2 linked regions of the Danio rerio genome follow. The protein of the gene in region 2 purifies or fractionates together with the protein of the main gene of each other region. This does not show direct contact. Links are inferred from orthologs where the notes say so. Each region holds a gene or a part of one and is shown on either strand. Other genes may lie near its edges.

Region 1 (13,980 bases), on a different chromosome or scaffold from region 2:
CAGAACGGGTTGGGTGGCGTAAGACCGACGAGGTTACATTGATGCCGTGACCCGGATGGGAGTGAGGTTTAGGGGGGTGAGTGTAACGGAGGCCAGCTAGTGTGTGCTGTGCAGGTAAAACCTCACTCCTCTGACCTCTAAAGGGTGCTCTAGCGACAGACGCTAGAGGCCATGGTCTTTAGCCTCCTTGGTAGAGCGCCCGACTCCCATGCGGAAGATCGCTGGTTCGAAACCAGCTCGGAGCGGGTTGGATGGTGTAGGACCAGCGGGGTTACACAAACATAGGAAGAACATGCAAACTCCACACAGAAACGTCAAGTGACCCAGCCAAGGCTTGAACCAGCGACCTTCTTGCTGTGAGGTGACAGCACTACCCACTGCGCCACTGTGTCATCGTAGCTTGATTTAATGAAAAATTAAAAAATATTTTTACATCCAGAAAATGCTTCTTGACATATGATTTTTTAAATATATTTTGACTAAAAAAAGAAGACAAAAACTACATGAGAAAAGCTTTTTGCAGTGTATCCAAAGAATACATAGAAATTGATTCTGGCAAGGTACAAACAACCTTGAGAGGAATTAGTGACACTGTGCCAGTATCCTGAATTAAAGACAATAAGACACAGGATCGAGATTAAAAGGTGAAGGTGGAACCTGGCACGGCTTGTGTGTGTGACTCGGTTTTGCTGTCAGTCTGTCCATCCTGAGAACTGCCTGAAGAGTGAGCCATCTTCTCCACCTCTAGCAAATAACATCTCTTCTAGAGACACAAAAAAACCTTAAAATTTGCGCAATAAAAAAAAATCCTCTGCACAGAAATACGTTGTTTGGTTTAAAATGACAGTAGCTAAATCGAAATGTTTACCTGTTCATATTAAAGGAAACTGTGGATGTTTCATCTCAAGTACGCGTCTAGTCTTTTAAAAAAGAGACACATTATTAACAGAAGAATGTTTTAAAGTAGCATTGAAACATGTATCTATTATTCAAATACAAATAGCATAATAAATGACAACATGACCCCAATTTAATACTTACCTATGACCGAAACCACACGAAAACCGTCCAGGTGGAGATTTAATCCAGTGTTTCAGTTTAAAGTTCATCACTGTGTCTATATGCTCCATCATTACACCAATGCTAACAGGCTAACTGTTGTTGACAATCTAGTGCTCGTAAATATCACGCTAATAATAACACGACGCATCCGTACGCATGATAACCCTTCAGTTCAGTCCCTATTATTGGAAGACGCCTATTTTGAGGGGTAACGTTGTGTTGGTGGCAACAGGTTAGTTAATCCTGGGTTAAGCACATCCACCAGAATTAGCATAGCATGAGAAGAAAGGAGCCAATGAGAGGAAAGAGCTCCGAGTCCCGGCTGTGTTTCAATCCTTTAGTGCGCTCTCTACTTAGACAGAAATTGCGTTTTTACCACTGTAAAGTTAAAACACATTTCGGAATGAATTCTCATGAAAGAAATAGTTTTTTTTTTTTAAGATTGATAATTATGACAATCTAATACAAAGTAACTTAAATACAAATCTGTTGTTGCTATTTTGAAATAACCATTGGATTAAAAATCTCATTTTAATTTAAGGAAATGTATCATTAAAATGTTGCTTACGATACATTACTGTATATCGAATGAGTGGTCTGTAAATTAAACTGAAGCATTTAAGAACGCCAAAATTATATTTTCTCTTTAGTATTATTGACAATTTGTTTGTTGGAAATCTTGAAACAAAAAAATCATTTCGGATTTTTTAATTAAAGAGAATGTTACTTGATAAAAATAATACATGACAAAAATAATACTTCTGCTATTTTTAGCACTTCATTTTATATACTAACATTTTTTATATATTATTTTATATATGTAGCTTGGTTGCACATGTGTTACTGTCTTAAGAAAAGACTCTCTAAAACTGACATGCAAATACCAGCTCATCTGCATCATTTAAAGGAAAACAGTCTTAAGTCACAAATTTGTGTAACATTACAGATCTACACATTTCCTATCAAAATATGTTGTTGTGGTTCCACATTTGACATGGTAGTTTACATCATGTTTTAACTATTCGTTATTAAAATAATTTGAATAGAATCCTACAGGTCGCTGTAGTCAGTGTTGAGGAATGTTACTTTAGAAAGTAATGCATTAGAATAGAGTTACTCCCAACTTTCTTTTGTGCTCCTGCAGTCTCATTGAGGGCATGATTCAAAGGGACTCCATTGATTTAAATTCAGCAATTTATTTTTTAAAAGCAAATAAACTAAACTAAAATGTAACTCGCATTACATTTAAAAAGTAACTCAGATATTCTTAAAATAATGCACTACTTTACTCGTTAATTAGAAATCTTGCGTAACTCGCAATACTTGTAATGCATTACGCCTAACACTGGCTGCAATGAGAGGGATTTTGCATCATCTAAGAGATCCAGAGAAAGCAAATAAAAATAAATGAAGAGTGAAATGAACAACAACAACCATTATTTGGTCATTCCAATTTAATATTTATTTTCAAAAGGTTTTTAATTAAAAAAAAAGAAATGAACTAAAAGAACATTTAAAATCACAAACTACAAAATATGATATTTGCTGTAATCAGAGATTCAACAAATTGATAAATACAAGAGAATGTTTACCAAGCACTAAACAGATTTCCACAATAAAAATTAAACAATTCCAAAAATTTACACATTTACATTTTCTTCCAAAGACCCGAAAAAGAAAAGTGGAGAACGGTGAATTCAGTGATGATGACAAAACCTTCTCTTTAAGAAGCTGTCAAAACCTGTCATCACAAAAACATCAGAACCTGTTGGAAACAATGATGCTCAAAACAAACAGTGCATTAAAACAGTTCAGCTGCTCAGTAATACTCTCATAGACACTCAGTGTAGCTGCTCAAGACATGTCGGAATCCTCAATTTTCATCATCTTTTTCGGTGTTTCCATGAACGCGTCCTGTAACACATGATATAAGAATGTTAACAACTGTAATGTCCAAAAATACCAGTTTAAAACCATGGTTGGATAAATAATGTCTGCCAAAAACATCACCTCTTGTAAAGACTGTGCTGCTCCATTGCTTGATGAGCATTGGGATTCAGTATTCTCTGTCGTTTCCACATCCAACTCAAAGTCCATAATTTCACCAAGGTCGATCTCCTCTCTGTTACAAACAAAGGAGTTAAAGAAACAGAAAAAAAACTGTAGCAATAAAAATTTTAAAAAGTGTTAACACTGTGCTGATGTGTAAATGTTTTTCTTAATTGGGACCTATTATGTAAAAATCACTTTTATATGTGGTTTAAACACAGTGGTGTGAATATAGCCAGCCTCTAATGGTAAAAATGTATTAATTCTTTTTTTAGAAATCACAAGTCTGCAAAAACACTTTGATGGACATTCTCGCTTAGTAAACGCCATCAGAAGGGGGAAGTCTTGCCCATTAGAGAAGATCTCTTCCTCATAAGCGTATTCAGCCCTGAGTGAAAAGCAGCCTTTTGTCATTAGTGTTTTGAATCTGCTGCTGGTGCTTATAGCTCCGCCCTCTTTTGAATAGCACAATCTCATTTGAATTTAAAGCACAATTTGGATCAAAGCCTAAAAGGAGCAGTTTCAAAGGGTTATAAAAAATATCTGTGTTGTATTTCGAGTAGAAACTTCACTTACACACTTTAAAGCAGGGGTGGGGAAACTCGGTCCTGGAGGGCTGGTGTCCTGCACAGTTTAGCTCCAACTCTAATCAAACACACCTGCTTATAGATTTCTAGTGATCATGAAGACACTGATTGGCACGTTCAGGTGTTTTTGATTAGAATTGGAGCTAAACTATGCAGGACACTGGCCCCCCTGGACCGAGTTTGCCCACCCCTGTTCTAAGGACATTAGAGACTTATTTAACATCCTGTAAAAAGCGACATAATAGGTCCCATTTAAGCCTATTTTATTAGCTTTTTTGTGTTTTTGGAAATAAAGCTTACATTTGCTGAAAGTCGCTTCCCTCTTCTGCAGGAGGGTCCCATGCATGAAGTTTGACCCGCCACAATTTAATCTGCTGGTCCCAGGAGCGTCTGCTGTACTTCTTGAACTTGTTTGGAGTCTTTGGATGAACACCTGGTTGTCTCAAATGCCTGAAAGAGGAGTTATATTTTAAGGTTCTGATGCTGTACAAAAAATAATTGCAGAAAAAAGATCTGGGTAGCATGACACATTCGTTAAAAAAAAAAAAAAAGCATGGTTTAACTCACTTTGGAACTTCTTTAATGTATCTGTCGTACGCAAGAGTATTTTTCCCGTAATTTATCTGCTTCTGTCTTCTGATGAGGGTGGTCTCATCGGTCTCGATGTCACCTTTAGCAGGCGACTCTTTCGAATCCCTAGAGTCTCTGGAGTCTGAACTGGGAGAACAAGAAAAGCTTGATTACAACTCAAGTCAAAATTGCTGTAAAACTTACTTCTAGATTGAACTTTTATTTGCTATTATACGCTTAAACAGGTAGACCCACCCCAAATTCACACATTGGGTTGTCCAAATTGAGGTGAACAAAATGCTCAAACAATAAGAATAGTGTTTTGATAGCACCACATTTATTACAATTGTTATTACTTGTATATTATGCTGGGACAGTAGTAGTGTTCATTTAATCATGTTTTCTAAGCCTGTGTCCCTTGTCTGATGTATTATATCTTAAAAGCATTTAGTGTTTTTGTTTTCTCAACTAGCCCTACATTAAATTAACATCTTTCCAACTATCCCTGAAGCATCATGTCTAGAACAGTTTTCTGTGCGACTTCACACAGCAACAGCAACGCATGCAGCATGACATCAATAGCATCTCTGAAGCAAAAATGGTTAAAAGCAGGCAAAGTCCTGGATCGGTTTCTTTGCTCTTCTTTTATTTTTATTTATTATAGAAGTATCGGATCGGTTTTCGTTAATCGCCAGATACTTAAAATTAAGTAACTCAAAAAACCTGATCGGGCCATCGCTACTGATTTATAATAAATGAACACTAGTCACACATTGAAAACTAATAAAAATGTTTCTTCCAAAGATAAAACTTTAAACTCAGTAAGTTATTTATTTTTGGATTAGAATCCTTTCAATGAAATATATTGTAACGTTTTTAAATTGATTTCACAGTTAGTGCTGGGGTCTCAGATTTAAAGGGAAAAGTTTGTTAGCTAATATTTTGCAGAAACAAACAAAAAAATGGTTTGACGTGGACAAATAAGAGCACCTTTTAGGGGAATAAGTCTAAATGCGACCCTGATTAAAACACAAACCTTCCAGATGAGATTTTTCTGTCTCTTTGAGGGAAATCACTCGCAAGAATCCTCCTTCTGTAACTGAAAAATAATAAATAAAATGAAGGATTTATCAGTGCCATGTACACCTGTATATTTGCAACATAAAATACTGTAATTGTTGTTAATGTAAAATTTACTTTGGCAAGAATTTTTTTTTTAATTCAAGAGAGGCAACTGACCGATGAAAATCACGCCGGACATTTGTGCGCATTTCCTGTTCCTCCACCTCATCGCCCCAGTTTTTTATTCTGGACACTGGTCCTTCACTCTCTGGGGTTGTAAAACTGCACAAAAAAAGACACAATTGTTCAGTAATAAGAAAATAAACCGACTATCATTTGTATCTCAGTTTAAAATGTAATGAAATTCATCAAAGAGGTCAGATTTGATGCATCTAATAAATCAAAATGTCAACCACAACCTAACAAAACTACTCCAGTTGACTCTCTTGAGAAATTGGTATGTTGTAAAGTCAATGCAAAATGTTACCTTTCTGATCTCTTCGAACATCTTTGATCTTTGCCTGGCTCTTCATCAGCATGAGACTTCCTCAGAATACCATCTGCTCCACGTTTCCTACACTGTGACCACCTTGAAGCTCCTTTGTTCCTTTAACACAAAATATATATACATTTGAAAAAAAAAAAGTGAAAAAGTGAATGTTGCACATAACATGAACACGAAATGCTAAAGCAATAAACACATGGATATAATTAATAAACATTTGGTGGAGATACAACTATTTAAAAATCTAGAATCGCAGAGTTACAAAAAAAATTTATCACAGAACTGATAAAATGCACATTTAAAGTTGTTTATACAGAGCTTAGCAAAGCATATTACGAATCAAAATTTGGGTTAATACATTTTCAGTAAGAAATGCAATTTACAACACAAGTCATCATCACTTGTTAATATTCCAAATATGCTTATGTATAATTACAAACAAATCTACTTCGTTACACACTTAACGTTAAAGGAGATGGCGACGGAAAACCGCGACTTCCTAATAACTAACAGTTAACGTACACAATGAGCTAAATCACTACTCGAAGAAACCTTTGTTTCCATGGCGCCACAAAATAACCTGCAGTCAACACACAACTCACTGCAAATAATAAAAACAACAACTTTTAGTAAAACTAAAATAAGTAATGCTGATTTAGGGAATCCAGAGGTAATGCTCGTATGGCGCCAACTCTCATTTACACTCTGAACACAACACAGAAGACTGGCGGGAGATCTTCACACCTCATTCATTATCTGCATAAAAGAGTCGAGATTTTGCAAGAACTAATGACCTAAAATAGTAGAAGAAGTTACAAATGAAAGTAAAAAGAATGTTTTATAGTCCAAAAACAGACAAAATAGTGAAGTACAGCAGGAACACAATACTTTGTTGTCTTGCTATGCTAGCAAACATCGGAGCCACAAAGCCAAAAAACACGAAAAGACAAAAACAACTGCACACACCACTAAATATAGTTTAAAATTCTTACCTGTCTTCACTAGATTTGTAATCGTTTTCGTATTTGTATTTTTGTTGTTCAGACATTGCTTCGAGAGGGTGTAAAATTGAACCTGCACGTACGATCAGCTGCCGGGTTTGGATTAAACCGCGCCAATGTCCTGCAGTGTACGTCAACATCGATGTCACATGACACTTAAGGGGCGGTGTTAGTGACGTATCTCACAACTTGATCCACCCACATACGCCGATCCACAAATCATGTGTACCCGTTCGTTAAAATCTGCAAAGACCTTAGAATCAGGTGATTCTAAGCTCTTTGAGGTCGGTCTATGGTTTATAGATCACATGTCGAGTTTAGCGCGTAACTTCTTTTTCCGTTTTAGAACGCCGTGGCGGGAATACAAACAGACGAAAGACCTGGGTCCACAAAAATAATTTTTTCATGTATTAAGAAATAAAGAGAAAAAGTAAGTCATGTAAGGAAGCCCCAAGAGGCCATGGATTAAAATATTTTTTCTCTCTTGTTTTTTCGTGATGACTTAATTATCTCGTGATCTCGACATAAAACGTTATGACAAACATGTCGTAATCACGTTTTTTTTGTTTGCTTTTATATATTTATTATTATTATTATTATTATTATTATTATTACTATTATTATCTGACCAATGTCTGACCAGTGAGTCTGCACCGGCCTTGTGATCAGGGAGAAAATAGCCTAACTGCTCGGGCTCACAATAATTTAGTCGTGGTCACGACAAAACAAGAGAGAAAAATATTAATGCATAGCCTTTTAATACTTCCGAGGTAATTTCCCGTCGTCGATGTGTTTCGGTTTAATGTGGCAAAAACACCAGTAATTTTTCTTTCTTTCAAACAAGAAAAATACCATTACCGTTTGTTTAAACCTTAATTCCCTTCGGATTTTAAGAAAAATGAATCACCTTAAAGGGACAGTTCAACCAGTCACGTTGTGTGATGTATGTGCTAATTTTAGGAACTTAATAAATGTTATACAACCTGTAAGTGCAACATATTCAAAAATAACAGGGGCTACTGAATACATCAGTGAAACGTTTTTTTCCCATTTAACGTGACTCGCCATTTAATTGCTCAAACTCGATTCGAGTTTTTTCAGTTAAACATAAAAGAAAACATTTGAGAAAATGCTGGTTGCCGCGACCCATTGACTCCCATTTTTTCTACAATTGAAGTCAATGCATCCCAGCAACCAGCATTCTTCAGAAGAGAGAAATTCAAAGGACTCAAACACACGCACACAAGGAAGAAGGAGCTCATTTTCACATTTGAGTGAACCAGCTTTTTAAAATGGACCCTATAAACCTATATGTCAATACAAATAAATGTGAATATTAGATCATTATTTGAGTGCATTAAGATAAGCAACGCATTATTCCTTAAAACTTTTAAACTCATACAAAACCAATTATTCTGTCAGTTTACTCATCCTTTATTTGGAATTTATCAGGATAACAGGATTTATCAATATAATTCAAGACTCTTGTGTAAATAAAACTTTATCTTAATTATTTATTTATCATCCATCATCTCCCATTCATGGTTTACTTTCCAACTATTATGCGTTACACACTCCTATCCAGTAGGAGGCAGAAATGTACCATTTAAAAAAAAACACGGAGACCCACTGAACTAAAGGTCTTACAGCTACAGCAATATACACTGCACATAATACACTTCAAGTTTAAAAAGTACAACCAAACACACTTTACTATGAGGTGGACTAAAAAAGATTGCAGGACTTATAACATGGATGTTTCTAGTCTTTTACCAGAACTGGGGAACAGGACAACGTTAACAACTGTCTTTTTTATTTTGCCATATGAGTGCCAGTCATTTATTTATTGACTTTTAGTCCTGATTGTGAAAAACCCAGACATGCACATAATATTCAAATAAAAAAAAATCAATTCATTGACTTTTAGTCCTGATTGTGAAAAACACAGACATGCACATAATATTCAAATAAAAAAAAAATCAAATAGTCTGAATATTTAATAGCATAAATACCAAAATTTTTGGGGGATTTTTCAGTAGGTTAGAGACCAAGAAAAGTAAAAATATGAATGTGAAAAATAAATTAATATGTAGATACATATATGAAACAAAATAAATGTAGACATTGTGTACAAAAAATTAGCTTTTTACATGTTGAATATTATTCTTATATTTGGAATGCTTGGCATTAGATGACAGACGCAAATATCTAGCTTTTAATTTTGAAAAATTACTGCTTATACCGATGCTTAATGTTGCAGTACACACTTAACCCACTTTTCTAGTTATGGTACAGTGCTGCTTGAAATTTTTTTAATGTTGCTAAAAGCTGCACAGTATTGTGACCTCATTGCTACAGTTTTAACAGGTCTCAAAAGTCACAGCTCTGCAGTTTAGCTCCAACCACCTCCAACTCGCACCTGCTTAATAGCCACTAGTAGTCATGAACACCTCAATTAGTTAGATCAACTGCGTTTGATTAGGTTAAAGGCAAAACTGTGCAGAGCTGCAAACCTCCAGGAAATCAAGATTTATTGATTTTATTTTTTGACACTCACTTTACAATAGATCACTCTTGTAATTGTCTTAACTCTAAGAAGTCAAACTAGGGGACCAGTGGCATAGTTATTTATTGCTTAGACCAGGGGTGTCAAACTCAGCTCCTGGAGGACCTGCACACGGTTATTCAAACGCTGCTTCTACACACTTGCATGTAGGTTTCAAACAATGCTAAAGAACTGTTTGATCAGGTGTTTTAGCATTGGAACTAAACTGTGCAGAGCTTCAGCCCTACAGGAACCAAGTTTGACACCTGTGGCTTAGACCATAGGTCTTTAAGGGCCTACTCACACTATGCCATCCGTACCGTGCTCAGGCCCGTTTCCCGGATCGTTTGAAAAGTGAGTGCGCTGAATCGGGCTCAAGCACGGTTTACTTGGCCAGCCCTGGCCCGGTTGGAAGAGGTGTGCCTAAGCACGGTTCACTTGGGCTTTGGCACGGTACGCTTGTGTGCGAGTGCAAAATGCGCCAAAGCCTGAAACTGTTAGCGAGACGTGACTTTTAACTCAACTGCTGGAAGGCCATAGCTCTACAGTTTTTTGCACAAACCCCAAGACACAGCTGATCAAACAAATTTAGGAGATTCAATTGGTGTCAAGTAGCTTTGAACACACTGATTAGTTGGATCAGACATATTGATTAGGGTTTGAGCATAACTGAGCTGCAACTCTCCAGTAATTGAGTTTGAGACCTATGGCTTAGACCAGGGGTATCTAAACTCTTTCCTGGAGGGCAGTGTCCTGCAGTTTAGCTCCAACTTCCTTTGACACACACACCTGCCTGAAAGTTTCTAGAACACCCAAAAAGAGCTTAATTAGTTGGTTTAGGTGTTTAATTGGGGTTCGAAATATGCAGGACACTGGCCCTCTAGGACAGAGTCCAGACACTCCTGGCTTAGATAGTTTACCCAACTGAAAATTCAGTTGACACCTTTATTATTTTAGTGTAAGATATAATAATAATAAATAAAATAACACCAGGTCAATAGTGTAAAGTCAAAAAAGACTAGTCCAAGCAGTTGACAATTTAAAATATTCTTTCAGTAACCTGTATAAGACTATTCTATTTCTAAATGGAAAACCAGCCATAATTGATTGCATTACACATTGATAATTCTTAATATTCAGCATGAAACCACTTCACAAAAGGGAGCAGGTCTTTATATTCATTTACTAAAAATTAAACAAGAACATTCATATTCCATTCAGATAAGTTGACACCACAGTCGAAGTTTCGCTTGTTACATTCACATTGAACCGTTTGAGAATCGTCATTCTGGCTGATCTTCAACACTTTTTTCCTACAACCACAGGAAAAAAAAAAAAAAAAAAGTCAAACACAGATCTCAACATTAAATACTAAATAATGAAATGTAGCAGGCTTCTTTGTCAGATTTTTGAAGAAAATTGCAACAAAAATCAGTGCCAACCCTGCATTTGATATTCCAAGATTAAAAAGACATCACAACAGAGAAAGGCTTCTGCTATGATGGTATCATCTTGGATCACAATGACTGAAAAAGTTACCTGCGCTAGGATTTTTACAGGGATTTCACCTCTTCTTACAGTACAGTCAACACCCTCTTCCTATAGAAAAAGCCACTTTAAAAACAAAATCAACATTGATAGCCACAAGGTAAATGTGTTGTTTTCCTACTTTTGAATCAGATCTGCATTTACTACAGCCAATGCACTACACCATTTTTATTACTAGGAGCTGTATTGCCTACTATTAGTACACACATAACACTAACTTAAAGCAGGTCAACATGGCTCTTCCTGTAGTAAATGCACACCCTGACCTGATGGAATGATTTTATTTTTAACCACTTAAGACAAAGAAAGTTGACAGTTTTTGATTTCTGGATTGAGAAACACTTACCTCTCAATTCACTAGACCACTAGATTGAGGTACTCTAGATGAGTCTTGTGCAACCTGGAAAAACAATCTTCATCAGGAACATGGAAACAAATATGCAGCACCAGTAGCCAATTGACTTGAGTGTTTGCCTCCAGACTAGGCCTGCCTCATTTTGTGAGTACAGGCCACTCTCAGAAGACATGGCATAACCAGCACCACACAGCAGGATTCACTAAAACAGCCAAACCTGATGGAGCACAAATGGCAGTGCCTTTCTCTTCCAGCAGAGTAACACTAGCTCAGGCATGGTCTGGCCTGCACAGCTGACTACCGCTGGGCTTTAATACACAAGAAAAAAATAACATACTTGCATTACAGCAGCCAAAGGGTCTTCATCAGGTTATAAACACAAACCAGTCAGCCACCTAAAATGGGGAAAAAATATCAAACTGCCTTTAAAAATAGCATTTTTAAATAAAGTTCACTATACAGTTATCAAGCAAAAATTAATATACATTTAGGGCATGTTCCTGTTTAAATAATCAAGTCTTCAAAGAACCAGCCACGTTACTCAGAAGAAAACCACGTGTCGAATGCAACATGCACACATTTGACCCACAGGATTTACAAACAGCCCTCATCAATTTAACTACCTTTCAGAAGCTTATACGTCCCTACAGTGTGTGCGATAAATCAAAATGATAAACTTTACCTTCTTGTAACCTTTCGGTTTTCTTATGCTCATTTCTTCCACACATCGTCGAAGTAGGCATCGCGAAATGAGGGATCTTAGGAGGGGGCACTACGCTTTTATAGCTACAACTGCATACCATCGAAGAAGAGTGATCGTGGTGACATCATGTGGCCACATCCTATTTACGAGTGAACTGAAGGTGCGTTCGACTTCATGCAGCGCTGCGCAGATCGATCGAAATCTGTCTTAAAGCGGTGCATTCTGGTTAGAAATCTTGTCCGGATTGATGCTGCGCCGACGCCACGTGACTGTCACATGTGGCATCAAAGTACCGCGACAGCGCTCCGAGATCAGACGGCAAACTCAGACCATGCAGCTTCTGAAGAGCGACTGCAGGAGCTTTGATGACGACACCGATATTACACGATTGGCCAAGTTCACCACATGACAACAAACACGTGTATTTCGGGTTTATAATTGGACAAATTCCGATTCAAAAGTTTCAAAACAAACATTTCACTTTTCACACCCTCTCTATCCTGTACACATCTTGCTTATTAAAAGACTACAAATATTTTACTGCAGTATCATCTTTTGTTAAATAATCTGGTTATAAAGGTTAGCTTGTTTGCACAGGTTTATTTTTTAACTTTTTTATACAGACTATTTACTGCATTCATCTCTATGAACGATTTAAATGATATATTTTAGTGTATATTTTAGTGAATAACCTAAATATGAACTCAAATAAGTCTTACAGACTTGAAATAAAATAATCATCATCATTGATCCTGCCCCCCTAAAGCTCTCTTAACAAATTAAAGTAAAGAACTATTTTATTAAATAATTATAAAATGGCTTTATTATTATAATATAAATATATATTTTATTTTCTGTCTAGCAGTTTAAAGGCTACCTGCTCTTTCTGGGAAACTTCTACATCGCTCACTTATTTTACCTTTTGTTCTTTTCAACACAATCTTTTTGGATTAAAATGCTTTTTTGAAAATTCATTCATCATCCAAAATAATGTCATTTATTAAGACCTAATCAAAACACCTTGTTTTGCTTTTTACATGGGAAATTTTATATCTATAAATGTACATATATGCAAACCCTTTTTAGCATATTCAAACAAGAAGTATTAGCCTAAAGAGTGATGTTTAACTCCTAGAATTTATGCTTATTGCTTTGTATTTAATAGACCTGTTCGTTTTTATGTTTATATTAACCTCTCATTTCCTCTTATTTCTCTCATGCATTTGTTATATATTTTATTCATAATTCTCTCTTATTGTTTAAAAAGGAACTACAGTTTGAAGAGCCTGTATTCTGTTTTATTTGTAAATGTTTTGTTGTTATAAATAAAAATAACAAAAAAAATATGATGACGCCATGTGATCGGTCATCATAACTGCAGCAACTTTGAGTCCCGAAGTGTTCAGCTGTCCGTCTTGACGGCTCCGTTATCAACTCCGCCCCCGCCTGCGCTCGGCTAATCTCGTTGATCACCGGCTGCAGCTGAGCTTCATGTCGAACGCACCTTGATTCTTCTCGAAGATTTGTTCGAATCGACTCGAAAAGCAGTCCTGATAAGGTACTAGAACAGTAGTGTAATTTTAAAAATGTAAGAAAAGATGAAGTAATAATAATGGTAGATCTTATGATTGTATATTTATTATGAAAAAACTGACAAGTGACCTAATTTTCAAAAATCATGATTACAATAGACATAATATTACGTTAAAACAGGTATAATTTTCGTTTCATGTGGCTAAGTTATACTACTTGCTCATGTAAAAATTCAGGGTAACGAGAATGTAGATAAACAGCCAAAAACGTTTATTTTTAATCTTAAATATGTCAGATGCTGTTAAACACCGTTTAGAGTTATGAATGAGATGAGACAGCAGATGGCGCTGTACTATTGTATTTGATTGGGGTTGTTACTGACGGAATGGAAATGTGGACTGAAACATATGTGATCAAATTAACTTAAGTCAAATTTATTTCTGCAAAAAGTAAATAAATA
Region 2 (16,033 bases):
GATATAGTCTACAACAGCCTGTAACAAACCTTCCAGCCACAACCAATCACTGGGAAACACCCATACACTCTTGCATTCACTCACATACACTATGGTCAGTTTAGCTTACCCAAATACGGCGCATGTGTTGGGACTGTGGGGGAAACCGGAGCACCCGGAGTAAACCCACGTCAACACGGGGAGAACATGCAAACTGAAATGTCAACCGGCCCAACCGGGACTGGAACCAACGACCTTCTTGCTGTGAGGAGATCGTTCTACCCACTGCGCCGCCTTGTCGCCCACCACCAAATGTTTACAAGCTTTAAGAGAAAAGCAGGATGCTCAATTGCACACGTAAAGCAAATGAGTCTTTCAGCTCATTCGAAACGAGTTCATCAGATTCTACCGAGCATGTGCAGAACTACATCACATGACATCAGTGAAAACGTTCAGAGCAGGGATTGAGTGACATCATCACAGCGATGCAGAGGTCATGACCTCAGACTACAATACCGTCACTGTGCTGTTCACAATGATCTCTCACACACCCATCACACACGCACAGAAGGCAGGGCATCTGACCTTCTCACGTCTGCCCGCTTTAATATTTAATATACACACAGATTACCCTTATGGCTGACAGCTTTAGCCTGCTCCAGTGTCACTAATGAGGGAACATCAGTAATGCGTCGCACGAACCGTATGCGAGTCACCACGAATGCAAAATGCAAAACAATTAATTATAAATGGAATATTGCTTAATTTATTGTTTATCCATGCATATCATTTGATCCAATTCACACGCTCTAGTAATATCTAATTAAAAATCCTGCCAACATCTATGACATCGTTTCACTTCTGATTTCCAGCCGATCATTAATTCTGTTTATTTACTTTAGTAAATGTGTGTAAATGTATATTTATTGAGTTTTTAAATTAATCACAGTAATATTATTGACTATTATGAAAATGTTCATCTGATTTATGCACAATGCAGTGTGTACAGAAATATTTTCTGTCTTTTAGTAGAGATATTATGAGAGACTTGCTTTGTTTACCAAATGAAGTTAATCTAATTGGATTTGCATTACAAACATTAAATAAAAGTTAAAAATGTATTACTTTTTATTTCATAAATTAACCAGTTAAACTCTGCTGCTATTTTGGGATTTCCGCCTAGAATTTGCCAACCCAAATGTAAAAGCATTTTCATATTTCACTATTCTTTTGTTTGATCAAACATAATTCACTGTGTTTGGACCACATCAGACATATAAAAGGATTACTTATGCACATCATCTCAAAAACAGAGGAGAAATGGCCCTGAAGCACACAGCATAAGGTAAGAGATGACAGCTGTCTGTGCTATCTGGGGCTGCTTAATGATCATAAATGTATTGTTTTCACTTCTACGCCATTGAAACACCGCGATTCATTCGGCAACTGTTTAAAATGTGAATATAATTCAGTAAAAAGAACGCTAAAACCGAATGAGCACCGGCAAGATATGAAAAATATGAAGATGAACCAATGTTCAATACCCAGCTCGGGTATCCAGAATACTGTGTATTTAAGTGTAAATAAACCCGGTACAGGGTTCGTGGAGTTAACTGGTTAAGGTTTTAGTTCTCATACTCCCAAAATAATTCTGCAGAAACCAAAATACCAAAATTCTCCGCAGAAATAGCAAAAAAAGTCCGCAGATTCCGCCTGGCCCTAGTTTTCTGACATGAAGGCAGGATTAAAATGTCACTCGCATGACTCACATTGTGGCCACTAGAGGGCGTCTTTTCACAACAAACTAATTTGTAGTTTGGCGATGATGGTGACTTGAGTGTGGAATCATGGGAGTTGTGGTCTTCATTACATCATGCAGGACTCTGGCAGAAATCATGTCGATGGATGAGCTGAAGTATCAAAATAGTCAAAAAAATTTGTCATTGGTAATGTTGCGTTGTTTTTGCAACGTGTTATGAGCTGTCAAACAGCATGTGTATATATTTCCTGTAAATGAATAGCAAATTGTGGCGTGTTGCTAAACATTTAAAGAAGTTTGGCCAGAGGAGAAATGGTCATGCCCGACTGAGCTTGGTTTCTCTTGAGGATTTGTTTCCTTCACTTTCGTTAATTGGGGAAGTTTGTTTTTCACCACTGGCTTGCTTGGTTTGGGACTTGTGGAGCTGCACATCGATGGATTACTCTTCAGTGTTTGGACTTTCAGCAGTGAAAATTAAACCACACTGAACAAAACTAAACTGAACTTCAACTCTGAAAACTGGACTGACACATTCTCATTTTACTAGAGCTTCCACGTTAAGCTGCTTTGACACTACAGAAATAAAGATGAATTCAAATGTGCATCTTGTGTTTTATTGATGACGTCATGAGCGAATAGTCGACATCGACTCGACTTTGAAAACATGAAAATCAACCACCAAAAATCTAAAGTCATTCAGACCCTAACAAAAAACTCACTGGTTTGGATGAGCCTCTTCCCCGTGAAGATGACCAGCTCCCGTCAATCTTATCACTGCAGTCTTCTGTCCACTGAAGGAAAAGACACATGTACAGACACACACACACAAACAGAGAGAAAGAGAGAGCGAGAGAGAAAGAAAAATCTTACTGTAAATAGTTTCAGGTGTTGGACATTTTTTTTTGTTGTAGTTTAAAAGTGCTTTCAAACCTGTGTTGCTCTTTGTTCTTGGTGCGGTTCACTTTCACACGGCAAAGTTTCTAACTGGACCACAAGAGCTAAAACTAGTCACGTGCGAGTAAACTCTCCTCACATTGGTCAGTTTCAGAGATAATTTCCAGAGTCCCGCTCAGCTGTCAGGGGGGGGGGGGTAGTGGTTTGCTGGTGTTTGACAAGGTGCGCGCGACGTGTCTGAAGAGCGAGGACAGATGCGGTGGGGAGGGGTGAGAAGGGTGCGCAACGTATTTGAGGACCAGGAGGGAGATGCGCGATTTCCGGGAGATTATCACTCGTTTGCGGGCACCTGGGAGTCTCTGTGCAGTTTCAGGAGACTAACGAAACATCCGGGAGACTTTGGATCTCTGTAATGACCTTCCACCCTGCTCTTAATTTTTTCCTTATTTAGCCGTATGCCTATTACATATCCATAAAACACAGTGATATAACCGCGCTCGAATTGTATTGCTTTCTCACTGCAATCGATCCACTCCAGAGTTCGTTTCAATCGAGCCAAGACTACCTCATTCAATCGATCTCGGAGCGATTGTTTTGGTGCGGATCCGAGCACGATTGGTGGTTTTGCATATGCCAAACGAACCACGCTAACTGGGCAAACGAGACAGGTTCCGAAACAAAAGTGTAGGTGTGAAAGCACCCTAACATGTGAGGTGTGGGGCTAAGGCTAGATCCAAAATCATTCACTATATTCATACATCATACATATTCCCAGCTTTAAGAGTGCTTTCACATCTATGGTTCAGTTAGTTTGGTCAGCAAGGGCAACACACGATGCATTGTACCATTTTCTGCCGTTTTTGGGTCCTTTTCACACCACACTGATTGCTTTGGTCTGAACCAGTTGAAAAGAACCAAAATGCAGTCATGTGACAAAATCCACATCACTCAATAGCCAGATGTTATTGAACGTATTTCCTAAACAGCTTTGCGATTGGTCAGAATTAATGTGCAGGAAAATGCCAATGGAACTCCCGCAAGTGAACGAACCGGCAGACACAGAAAGTCGCTTTATACTATGCAGTTACGACTAAGCTGGCTGACTGTATCCCTGCTCACAGTATACTACATAGTTTATATAAATCACTTTAGACAAACTATACATTTCGAGAAAGAACTGCGGCTGGAAAACAATGTTTTAATGTATTGCAGATGGCGAAGGTGCATTGCACGTCGTATGAATTAATTTAGCTAAACTGCAGCATGGTCATCTTCCGGAAATATTACCAACGATCCATTAGGTAATGTTTTTCCCTCTCTCTCTCTGTCGTTAAAGCGAAGTCAACAAATATTTTTCCTCTACATCCCATAAGATGGGACAGCACATCGGACTATGGCAGCTGGATTAGTCCAAAAAGGCGCAGTACTTTTTGCGGTTGGGTCTGTTTTTATGTCGGATCATGTTCTCACCACAAACGAAACACTCCAGGGTTCGTTTAAAAGCGACTGAGACCACCTCTTCACCTCTTCTGCTTTTGAAAAACAGAAAAACTACACACAGCAGACATTCAGTCCTTATATGGGTTCAAAAACAACACAGACCATATAGGCCCAATTCCAATTCTATTTTTGTACCCCTACCCCTTTCCCTTGGCCCTCACAACCGAGGGTTACGGGGAAGGGCTTCAAAATTTACCCCTAAGAATTAGGACAGCACTACAGCACCTGCACACGCCATCATATGTCCTCGCGATCTCCTGCTTCTCCTCTGAGATCAGACAATGGCGACTGCTGTAGTGATTCCAGTTGTGTTATTTTTTGGTATTTATCTTCAGGAGACGACTGAAGGCATGTATTATGTCATCATAACGATCTAATGTGGCATTAAGATCGTAACTGCACTGAGTATTTACACAGTGGCCATATTCATCTACATAAAAACACCAAAAACAACATTAACATTATAGCAGACACTGTAAAAAGCTCATTGACAGCCACTAGACATTACTGACAGGGTATTTGAGTGTCAGAATGCTGTGGGACTGCTGTACAGGAGTTATCAATAGGGATTATAGATCGCGAAAGTTTGCGTTTTTTTGTGGTTTTTTTAAAGCATGAGGGTAAAACACGAACGCGGTCATGAATATGTTAAAACATATGTTTGTTGGTCATAAAAATTCATAATAATGACAAAAAAAATACTAATTTGTGGATCTCCTTATTTCCGCGTTCAGCAATACTGCCGCTGTTGATGGTGTATTCTGGGAAATTTTCTTACCCCTTGGTTTCAAGTGTGGTCCTGAAAAATCTTCGTCGAAGAGCTTTTCACCTCTTCCCCTTAGCCCTACGCCTTCAAGCTAAAGAGAATTGGGACCTCCCTTCCCCTTGGCGTGCACGCGCAAAATTGAGGGGTAGGGGTAAGGGCTAAGGGGTAGAATTGGGATTGGATCATAGTATAGCCCACAGTCAGAGCAAACCACTCATCTGTATCTTTAATCTTGACCAGCACATGTAAACTCTGTAAGAAATTAACTTCTTCATTCTGAGTTCATAATAGTCCAGAAGGTAATGATGATAGTTAAATATGGCAGTTTGATCATGTTTCAGGCTGCTGAAAGAATCATTTTCTTCTTTGTTTTTTTTACATGTCACTCTCGTCACGCGTCATTTGTCCATTTCTGAAAGGATCAGATGTCAGAAGCGCTTCAATAATCACGAGCACATGATTTTAATCGGCTCAAGAAGTTTGTTATTTCAAATATAAACATGCTGCGAGCGTACACGAGAATGGTAGATTCTGCTCTTCTTGGCTTTGTGGTTGTTCATCAAGACACGACAAGGTTCGTTTAAGCTCGGGTTGACCATGGCTTGTTATTAAATGTATATATCATTATGGTGTAATGTCTCTGCTGTGTATTTAAAAATAGCGCTTCCTTTGTTTTCATTCTCCTGCTTGTGTACGAGCTATTGATGTTTCTCTGTAAACCAATAGCGTTCAGCTGCATGTTTAGCTCCGCCTTTTGGTACCATTTCATCGTGTTCGATACCCCTCCGAAAGAATACCCAAAAAGTGCTACAGTGCGATTCGCTTTTTTGGTACCTTTTGACAGTGGAAACAGCCACAAAAGCATACCAAACCGTACCATAACACTCAGCGGAAATGGGCTATAATACAGTATCAGTATATATAACGTGGTACCTGTGAGGTGTGGGACAGGGTCTTGTCCACATCGGGGTCTGTTTCGTTCTTGTCGCTCAGCAGTCCCTGCACCTGGTACTCCAACACGTAGCTGTCGATGAAGCGCTCCAGCTCCTCGATCTCCTGCGAGCGTGTGCTACCCGCCTCTGACGACGCTGACGCCACCGATGAGCTCTCCATAGCAACCGGCCCAGTGTGAGGGAGGAGCAAGGGAGCTGCGGGCAGGGCAAAGAGGAAGTTAGTGACACAAACCCTAATAACAACAATCTTTAAGAATGACTATATAGTTAGAATAATTATTTAGAACAATATTTATTTATATTATTTAGAATAATATTTAGTAGAGTCGTTATACGTCTGGAATCAGAATTATTAGCCCCCCTGTATATTTTTACCCCAATTTCAGTTTGATGAAAAGATTTTCTTAACATTTTCTTCACTTTTCTAAGCATAATGGTTTCTTTAACTCTTCTTATAACTGATTTCTTTTATCTTTGCCATGACAACAGCACATATTTTTCAAGATTCTAGTATTCAGCTTAAAGTGACATTTAAAGGCTTAACTAGGTTAATTAGGGTAAAGTTAGGGTAATTAGACAAGTCATTGTATAACAGTGGTTTGCTCTGCAGACAATCCAAAACAAATATATTTTAAAAACGGGGGCTAATAATATTCACCTTAAAATGGTTTTAAAATAAAAACTGCTTCAGAACTACTTCAGGGGGTGAAAACGTCAGAATTGTTAAAATACTAAAACATTTCAAATTGTTTTGATGACTTGGAGAAATGTTTTAATCTGTATTAAACTTGTTCTTAGGCATTTAAATCAGCTTTCCTCGCTTCAGAAATGAAATGATGAGATGAAGTTCTCGACAAAGTAACTTACATGTACAAACTGAACAGAACAACTTGACAACACAAAGGAGAAAAGTAATGTAACTGTGCAAGTCTTCAGTTCGTGCACGACTTAAAGGACAAATAATCCCACAAAAAAATGCTTCACTAAAATGAAGCACAGGCCCTCGAGTCCTTCACACTTTATACTTATGCCTTCCACTGAGCTTCACATTACCTAATGAAGTCTCAAGGTAAAATAGAAAGAGAGAGAGAGAGAGAGAGAGAGAGAGAGAGAGAGAGAGAGAGAGAGTATAATCTGGTTTTAAGTCACTACTTGAATCGTGTCCAAGCAAAGAGGATTTACAACTGGAGCAGCAGCATCTTACCAGCACACATCCATAATAACACGCAACGGTCTTACGCCTTCAAAAGCAGAGCTGCTGGTATTTAAGATCATTTGACTGGTTTAGCAATTGTTCTCTGTACCACCCGTGATCTGTCAATGAATCCTTTGTGCGAATATTCATCATGTTTATTCGTTCATTTTCCTTCAGCTTAGTCCTTTTATTTATTAACCGCCAACTTATCAAGAATGTGTTTTACACAGCTGATGCCCTTCCAGCTGCAACCCAGTATTGGGAAACACCCATACATATTTGTTCACACACTTATACAATACGGACAATTTAGTTTACCCAATTCCCCAATAGCACATGTGTTTGGACTGTCAGGGAAACCGGAGCACCCAGAGGAAACCCACGCCAACACTGGGAGAACATGCAAACTCCACACAGAAATGCCAACTGACCCAGCTGGGACTCGAATCAGCCACTTTCTTGCTGTGAGGCGACAGTGCTAACCACTGAGCCACCAAACTAAAAGAAATAAGACTTTATTTCTCCACAAGTGGAAATGTAATAGGAAATACTGTAAAAAACGTCCTTGCTCTGTTAATCATCACATGGGAAATATTTGAAAAAGAATAAATATGTCTAATATTTATATATTGGATAGAGGATAGAGGAGTCTTCATACATTTTTTTTTAAACAAGATAACTTTTAATATAGTTATAAATACTTTAGGGCAGTGTTTTCAAACTGTGGGGCGCACCCCACCAGGGGGCACCAGCACCTATTAAGGGGGGGGGGGGGGGGGGAGACATTGAGGCGTGCACTCTGAGGCGCGCACTAGAGTAAAATATGATGACGATTTTTATGCGTTCACTAGAGGGAGTAATATGATTATCATTAGCTCCACAGCTAACTATCAGGCACCTGTAGAGTTTATGCTTTCCAGTGAAACATACACAAAAACAATGGACCGAGTGCTTTTTAAAACTAGTGAATGAATGAAAGTCAAAGCATTGAGCCGTCTGACAAAAAAAAGTGCCCTTCTGGATATTTCAAATACTTGGAAGACGCTATTGACTACGCTTACATGGACATCTGTAATAGTTATTTGTCTTAATCTGAATAAGACAATGATAGAATAACGTGAAGTGTTTTTTGATTGTTGCGTCACCTATTTACATTTCTTGCGTGAAGTCACAAGTCTCCTAATGCAATTCTTGGTGTTTCATCTTTAATTTCTTGACTTTACCTGCAGTTCCGCAGTTTAACTTTTACTCATGAACATTTCATTCATGCCCCCATGACAAACTGGGATATTTGATGCGAATATGAAGGACTGGTGGAAGAGTGTTGTATTTATTGATACCGCACGTCGAATGGAAGAAAAAAAAAAAAAACTTCCGCATTTTGCGATGTGTGTGTGTGCAGTCCGTTACTGACAGCCACGTGGGTGGATCTTGTCGGAAAATATGTTGAAAAGTCCAACATAACGGTAATAGTTTGCTTGGGGTGTTTACTTCAATAATGCCACTAATATCTGCATACTGCACATGTCTTAATTCCATTTCTGTTTAGTTCAGTTATGACTTTAGTCGCATTAAGGTAATAAAATAAATAAAATAAATTTTAAAAAGTGCCATTTACATGGTAGACTCTTAATCAAGAGTATTGTCTTAATCATATTGAAATTGTATTGTTGCCCATGTACTGTAAACATACTCAATCTTCGACTCCACACTGTCAGGGCTCTGCCAACTTGGCTTCGTGGAGCAGCATTTTTCGTATGTACGTACATCGAAAGCAAGTAGGTGATGATTTACAATTAGTCGTTTCAGGAATCCGACCACAGATTAGCATGTTGTCCTCACAGAAACAGTCTCAGCCATCACACTGAACCAGGTAAGATGTATATTTATGTTTCAACGTAATTAACGCTAAGCACTTTAAACGCAACAAGTAATATGTGAATGATGTCTGCATATGCATTGTAATTTTGGCTCTAGGGAGGGGTGCTTGGGGGGGCGCGAGTGAAATTGGACAAACTTAGAAGGGGCGCGTGTCCTAAAAGTTTAAAACCCCTGTTTTAGGGGGCGGTCTAGAATGTAATTTTAAGGCTTGGTTGCATTTATAAGATGCAAGGCAATGAAGGCTCATGCTTCACTTGTAGAAAATCATATTATTTTTTCATTTATCTTAAGCCTGATTTATACTTCTGCGTCAAGTGACCGGTGTAACCCACGACGCATGCAACGCGCGTAGCTGTGCATTTATACTTATGCGCGCTGTCTCTGTTGGTCTGCATTAACACTTCCGAAACGCTAGTGGGCAGTGAGGTGTAAATGTTCCTCTTTGTTGAGTTTCTTCGCTGCTGTTTTGCTTTTCCTAAACACTTCCTGGATGTACAAGTGGCTCAAACTCGCTCATTTTGAGGCAGGAACCGGCAGACTTTAACTATGAGGTAAACACAAAACAAAACTTTCCATCATGAGCTCCTTCACGGGACTCCACACTTGTAAACAATCGCTCCATTGGGCTCGTGCTGCTCGCGCGGCTCTCAGTCCCACCCTTGACTTGTCAGCGCTCCCAAGCAGACCAATCACAGAGCTTGTGCTACGCGTCATTGCGATGTGTAGTTACATTTTTTGAGAGGTACGCGTCAGTGACGCCAACGGAAGGGCTACGCGTCAACCTTGTAATAACACTGACAGTGCATTTTTTTGCTATTTTACAACACTATTTCTCATACATTATATTATTAAAAATTACTAAAATGTTAATAAAAGTTACTTTGTTAAACTGTAGAGTTAAATTTCCAACATCAAAAGTGGACAGAGCAGAGATCAACATCCCATAATGCAATTCACAACCAGTAAATAAACTGAAAACACTTGTTAAAAGAACAGATATTTACAGTGCACCGACATATGAAGAAACAAAACTATTTTCAACATTAATCACAATCAGAAATATTTCTTGATGATGAAATCTTGATCTTATAATATCTTCTGAAAGATGGCGTGACACTGAAGACTCGAGTAATGATGATGCTGTAAATTCAGTTTATAATCAAAACAAATGCAGCATTGGTGGACTTCTGCATATCAGCCACAAAGAATGTAAACAAAAGGTGTTCATGTGTGACAGAAGTGCGTGTGTGTGCTGTGATATCAGCTGTTGATTGTAATGACAGTATGACTCACACACACACACACACACATGCACACTGAAGATGACAGCTGAGGGAAACACAGAAGAGTGTGAGAAAGCACATCAGCAGATGAGCGTGAGAGTTTTTGATTATCAGTAGATTGAGCTGGACAGCTTTAATGAGGATTGGAGATCTCTGACCTCTGCTGACTCCACAACACACACACACACACACACACACACACACACACACACACACACACACACACACACACACACACACACACACAAACACAAACAAACACACACACACACACACACACACACACACACACACACACACACACACACACACACACACATTACTTTTATGCTGCGTTCACACCAGACACGGAACGCGCATCAAGCGCGAGTGATTTACATGTTAAGTCAATGCAAACGCACAAATAGACATCCTGCGGCGCGAATGGCGCAGAGCGAATGACGAGAATTTCGCGAATGGCGCGGTGCGAATAGCGCGATACGCGCGAGGCGAATTGATCGTTTGCCGAATCTCTCGAGTTCGAAAATCTGAACTTCAGCGGACATTCGTGCCATGTTAACCAATCAGAAGCTTGCTCTTGTGGGGGCTTGATTGTGACGTAGAACCTGTTGATGGTGTCCCGAGGCAAATCCTCCAGGCGACACCGACAGCAAGTCATCAAACTGGGCTTGATTCTGTCAGAAGCACTGCTGAAAGTCTCCGTAATCCAGGTTCAGTTTCTGGAGGAGTTTATGAGCTCAGAGCTGGATGCTCCTCTGAAAGGATGCAGTGGACTCAGACAGGACCCTAAACGTATCTACACTGTTTTTCAGTCTCCATAAAGCACATTAACACTGTTATTTTCTTAAAAAAATGCATGTTAGTCATTTAGCTATGAAGCTAGAGTCACCGGGCAGACAGAAGCCCTGCTCATCACGCGAATCCGCGTCTGTTCTGAAGTGAATTTGACACGCGAATGAAGCGGATTTCACGCCCGAATGAAGCGGGGTTTGACGCCCGAATGAAGCGAGTAAACTCAAATGTTCACGCGGCAATTTACGCGCGAATATCTCGATTTATCCACGCGTTCCGCGTCTGGTGTGAACACAGCATTAGGGTGCTTTCACACCTGTGAATTGATTCAGTTGTTCCGAAACAGGGATTACAATTGTTACATTGTTGCTCTTTGTTCTTGGTGCGGTTCGATTTCACACAGCAAAGTGTCTAAACGGACCAAAAGAGCTAAAACAAGTCATGTGCGAGTAAACTTTCCTCTCATTGATCAGAGTTTCAGGGTTTATTTTGCAGAGTCCCGCTTAGCTGTCGGGGGGTGGTGGTTTGGTGGTGTTTGACACGGTGCGCGCGACGTGTCTGAAGAGCGAGGAGAGATGCGGTGGGGAGGGGTGAGAAGGGTGCGCAACATATTTGTGGACCAGGAGGGAGGCGCGAGATTATCGCTCGTTTGTGGGCATCCAGGAGACTCCCGAAACTTCCCGCCCTACTCATAATTACTTATAAATTTTAGTTTACCCAATTCACTTATAGCGCATTTTTTGACTGTGGGGGAAACTAGAGCACCCAGAGGAAACCCACGTGAACGTAGGGAGAACATGCAAACTCCACACAGAAATGCCAACTGACTCAGCTGAGGCTTGAACCTTCTTGCTGTGAGGCGAAAGCATTACCGACTGCGCCTCCAAATGTCCCGCTTTTAGATCAATATAGAGTAAAAAGTCAAGAGCTTTTCATCGTTATTGACATCAATTTCAATGATTTAATATAATACCGTTTATTGGTCCTTATACACGCACAGAAAGCGGAGATAAAATCCCATCGTTAAATTACAAATCAGATCACAATCAATATAAATGATTGCAAACAAAGCAATTCTCGAAATAGGTGTTTACAGCGGCTTTAATCTAATGAGCAGTCTTGAACACACTGCTGGGAAATGAGCACAATTGGGCTGAAATCATTGCAGCCAGAAATAAGATTAATTGGGCTCTCATTAGGGCTTTTCCATTAGCCACTCAGACGGTTCTGGTCCTATTGAATGCGTCTCATTTCACGCAGGATTTTCTCCCTCCGGATATCATCATGTCAAGTGTAAATGAGTGAATGTGTCTGACAGCGCACAGACTGAGCCTCGGGCTCTTGACTAATGGACCACAGCAGTCTGAGACGCAGAAATCCCCACAATAAAACACACTACAGGAGAATTCAACAAGAAAACAATCAAACACGATATTCACTATTCACATTCCAGAACACGTCAAAGTCAGTTTATTCAGGGTATCTGCACACTTCTAAGAGATATATTTAAGACTGTAAGACCATACAGAATGAAATTTAAAGGGCACCTATGATGAAAATCAACTTTATTAAAGGTGTTTGGATAGAACTGTGTAGGTCACTGACATATACTGTGGGCGAATTATCGGTTTTTAAATAATCAGGATGTGCGCACATCAAGGTTTCAGAAAATAAAAAACGTGAGCGCTAGCATTTACAGCAAGGGAATGACATCCGATGCGGTAAAGAGTTTGTTGTTGTCTTAGAGAGAAGTTATATTGATTACATATTATTTAAACAATGCTTCCAGCGTATTATAACAGCTTGTCACCCAGTGATGAGAACAGTAATTCTGCAAAATTAACGTTAAACTGAGCGGCGTTTGTCTGACAGGTCGAATTGCGATAGCACCCTCCCGATGGACATTGGATATACGATGTATATAAATATAAAAATAAAACATTTTTGCATTTAAAATGACATAAGTGAGCGAATGACACTTAATGAGTAGTTTTAGTCTAATGCTGCGTCACAGCAGACGCGGAACGGGATCAAGCGGGAGTGATTTACATGTTAAGTCAATGCAAACGCGCGAATGGCGTGCTGCGAATGGTGTGGAGTGAATAGCGCGAATGGCTAGGTGCGAATAGCGCGATATGCGCAAATGGAGCGTTTTGCTGTTAGCGCGCAAACCGCTCGTGTTTAAAATCTGAACTTCAGTGGTCATTCGCGCTGCGTTAACCAATCAGGAGCTTGCTCTTGTGGGGGCGTGATTGTGACGTATCGCCTGTTGTAGGTGTCCTGGGGGAAATCCTTCAGCCGACACCAACAAAAAGTTCATCAAACTGAATCAGTTAGAAGCCCCGCTGAAAGCCTCCATCAACTAGGTTCAGTTTCTGGAGGAGTTTATGAGCTCATAGAGCTGGATGCACCTCTGAAAAGAATTGAGTGGACTCAGACACAACCCTAAACGTATCAACGCTGTTTTACAGCCTTCATAAAGCACATAAACAGTTATTTTCTTCATAAAATGCATGTTCACCATTTAGTAACAAAGCTAGAATCATTGGGCAGACAGAAGCCCTGCCTATAATGCCAATCCGCGTCTGTTCTGAAGTGAATTTGATGTGTGAATGAAGCGGGGTTTGACACACGAATGAAGCGAGCAAACTCAAATGTTCACGCGACTATTTACTTAAATGGCGTGATTTATCCGCGGTTCCGCATCTGGTGTGAACACAGCTTTATGAACTTCCCTTCAAGTAGTGTTACTGAAAAATACATGTTATTTAACTTTTCGCTTACAGTCTTAAAAGTTAAAAGCCGACTTAATTTTTTATATTTATGCAAATACACTTACTGGCCACTTTATTAGGTACACCTGTCCAACTGTTGTAAACGTAAATTTCTGATCAGCCAATCACATGGCAGCAGCTCAATGCATTTAGGCACATTGACATGGTTGAGACAGTTCAAAGCGAGCATCAGAATGGGGAAGAAAGGGGATTTAAGTGACTGAACGTGTCATGGTTGTTGGTGCCAGACAGGCTGGTCTGAGTATTTCAGAAACTGCTGATCTACTGGGATTTTCACGCACAACCATCTCTAAGGGTAAAAGAGGAAATATCCAGTCAGTGGATGGGCTACAGCAGCAGAAGACCACACCGGGTAACGCTCCTGTCAGCTAAGAACAGGAAACTGAGGCTACAATTCACACAGGCTCACCAAAACCTGCAGAAGAGCATCTCTGAACACACAACACGTCCAACCTTGAGGCAGATGGGCTACAGCAGGTGAAGACCACACTGGGTGCCACTCCTGTCAGCTCAGAACAGGAAACTTTTTTTTTTTTTTTTAGCACACAGTGTTAGCACAGCTTCTGCTGTCATTGTGTCTGACAGAGAAAATATTCTCAATATGTAATTGTTTTAGGCAAATTGCATTCACTGTTAAAAAAAACGTAAACCTGTAGCTTTTTAAAGGCAATAGTTGACTTCATTTTTTAAGTCACTAGACTCACAAGCCTCTTTATTAGGTACACCTCAATAGTACTGGGCTGGACCCCCTTTTGTAAGGGAAGTAGCCATCAGAAGATGAGTACACTGTGGTCATAAAGGGATGAACATGGTCAGCAACCAAACTTGGGTAGGCTGTGGCGTTGACACAAATTACGCTCAGTTCGTACTAATACACCCAAGTGTGCTAAGAAAATCTCCCCCACACCATTACACCACCACCACCAGCCTGAACTGTTGATTTAAGGCAGGATGGATCCATGCTTTCATGTTGTTGAGATCAAATTCTGACCCGACCATCCGAATGTGTCAGCAGAAATCGAGACTCATCAGACCAGGCAACATTTCTAGCCTGTGTGAATTGTAGCCTCAGTTTCCTGTTCTTAGCTGACAGGAGCGGCACCCGGTGTGATCTTCTGCTGCTGTAGCCCATCCGCCTCAAGGTTGGACGTGTTGTGTGTTCAGAGATGCTCTTCAGCAGAGCTCGGTTGTAACGAGTGCTTATTTGAGTTACTTTTCACTTTCTATAAGCTGGAACCAGTCTGGCCATTCTCCTCTGACCTCTGGCATCAACAAGGCATTTGCGCCCACAGAACTGCCGCTCACTGGATATTTCCTCTTTTTCAGACCATTCTCTGTAAACCCTAGAAATGGTTGTGCGTGAAAATCCCACTAGATCAGCAGTTTCTGAAATACTCAGAGCAGCTGGTCTGGTATTAACAACCATGCCACGTTCAGTCACTTAAATCCACTTTCTTCCCCATTCTGATGCTCGATTTGAACTGCAGCAGATCATCTTGACCATGTCTAAATGCATTGAGTTGCTGCCATGTGATTGGCTGATTAGAAATAAGGGTTAACGAGCAGTTGGACAGGTGTACCTAATAAAGTGGCTGCTGAGTATACACTGTATATGGCTGCAAAAGTAAAAGGCTTGACTTTAATAGTTTGTTTAAAGAGTGTGTGGTGTAATAGAGATTGTTCTCATGTGTGAAAGTGTTTGCTCAGACTGATAGCAGACGCTGAATGTGTCTTTATTTTACACCAGAACAAAGTACACAGAAGACTTTAAACATCCCAAGTGTGTGTGTGTATGTGTGTGTGTTCACTGTTATAACTGAACACTACACAACATTATACAGCACAACGCACCAATAATGATTCATATTTAAAGGTCCTATGAAATTAAAATAAACTTGTTTAGATGTTAGAATCAGTATAGTAATCTTCGAGGATATCTATAAGCTAGTGTGCTCCAACACAGCGACAAAATTCACATTTAGAAGATTTAAACATCCAAAGCTTGCAGTTTACTTTCGTCACTGTATACTACAGTTTGAAGTCTCTGACCAATCAAATGCTCTCTATTATCTGACATGCTCCACCCCCTTCTTCTCATTTGCTTTTGAACCACTCACTGGTAAAGCTATGAGAAAACTAAAAGCTACTGGATTTTAAAGGGCACCTATGGTGAAAAATCTACTTTTCTAGCTGTTTGGACAGACATGTGTGTAAGTATAGTGCATATACTGTCATA

What was found.
Region 1: the proteins of ctif (region 2) and slbp purify together in Homo sapiens (affinity purification with western blotting; 3 studies listed by BioGRID). This does not show direct contact. The link is inferred for Danio rerio from reciprocal best matches to the Homo sapiens genes CTIF and SLBP.

Annotation. Positions count from the first base shown.
Region 1 is NC_133189.1:17,113,400-17,127,379, reverse strand, and holds slbp (histone RNA hairpin-binding protein), read right to left. Parts: upstream 6,972-13,980; 5' UTR 6,884-6,971; coding exon 6,828-6,883; intron 5,938-6,827; coding exon 5,818-5,937; intron 5,613-5,817; coding exon 5,508-5,612; intron 5,368-5,507; coding exon 5,305-5,367; coding exon of another isoform or gene 5,301-5,304; intron 4,416-5,300; coding exon 4,266-4,415; intron 4,149-4,265; coding exon 3,999-4,148; intron 3,185-3,998; coding exon 3,073-3,184; intron 2,977-3,072; coding exon 2,917-2,976; 3' UTR 2,496-2,916; downstream 1-2,495. Other genes in the region: ccdc142 (coiled-coil domain-containing protein 142), read right to left, coding at 658-733. UniProt on the Homo sapiens protein: RNA-binding protein involved in the histone pre-mRNA processing.
Region 2 is NC_133196.1:3,989,105-4,005,137, reverse strand, and holds part of ctif (CBP80/20-dependent translation initiation factor), read right to left. Parts: intron 6,047-16,033; 5' UTR 6,012-6,046; coding exon 5,832-6,011; intron 2,530-5,831; coding exon 2,458-2,529; intron 1-2,457. UniProt on the Homo sapiens protein: Specifically required for the pioneer round of mRNA translation mediated by the cap-binding complex (CBC), that takes place during or right after mRNA export via the nuclear pore complex (NPC).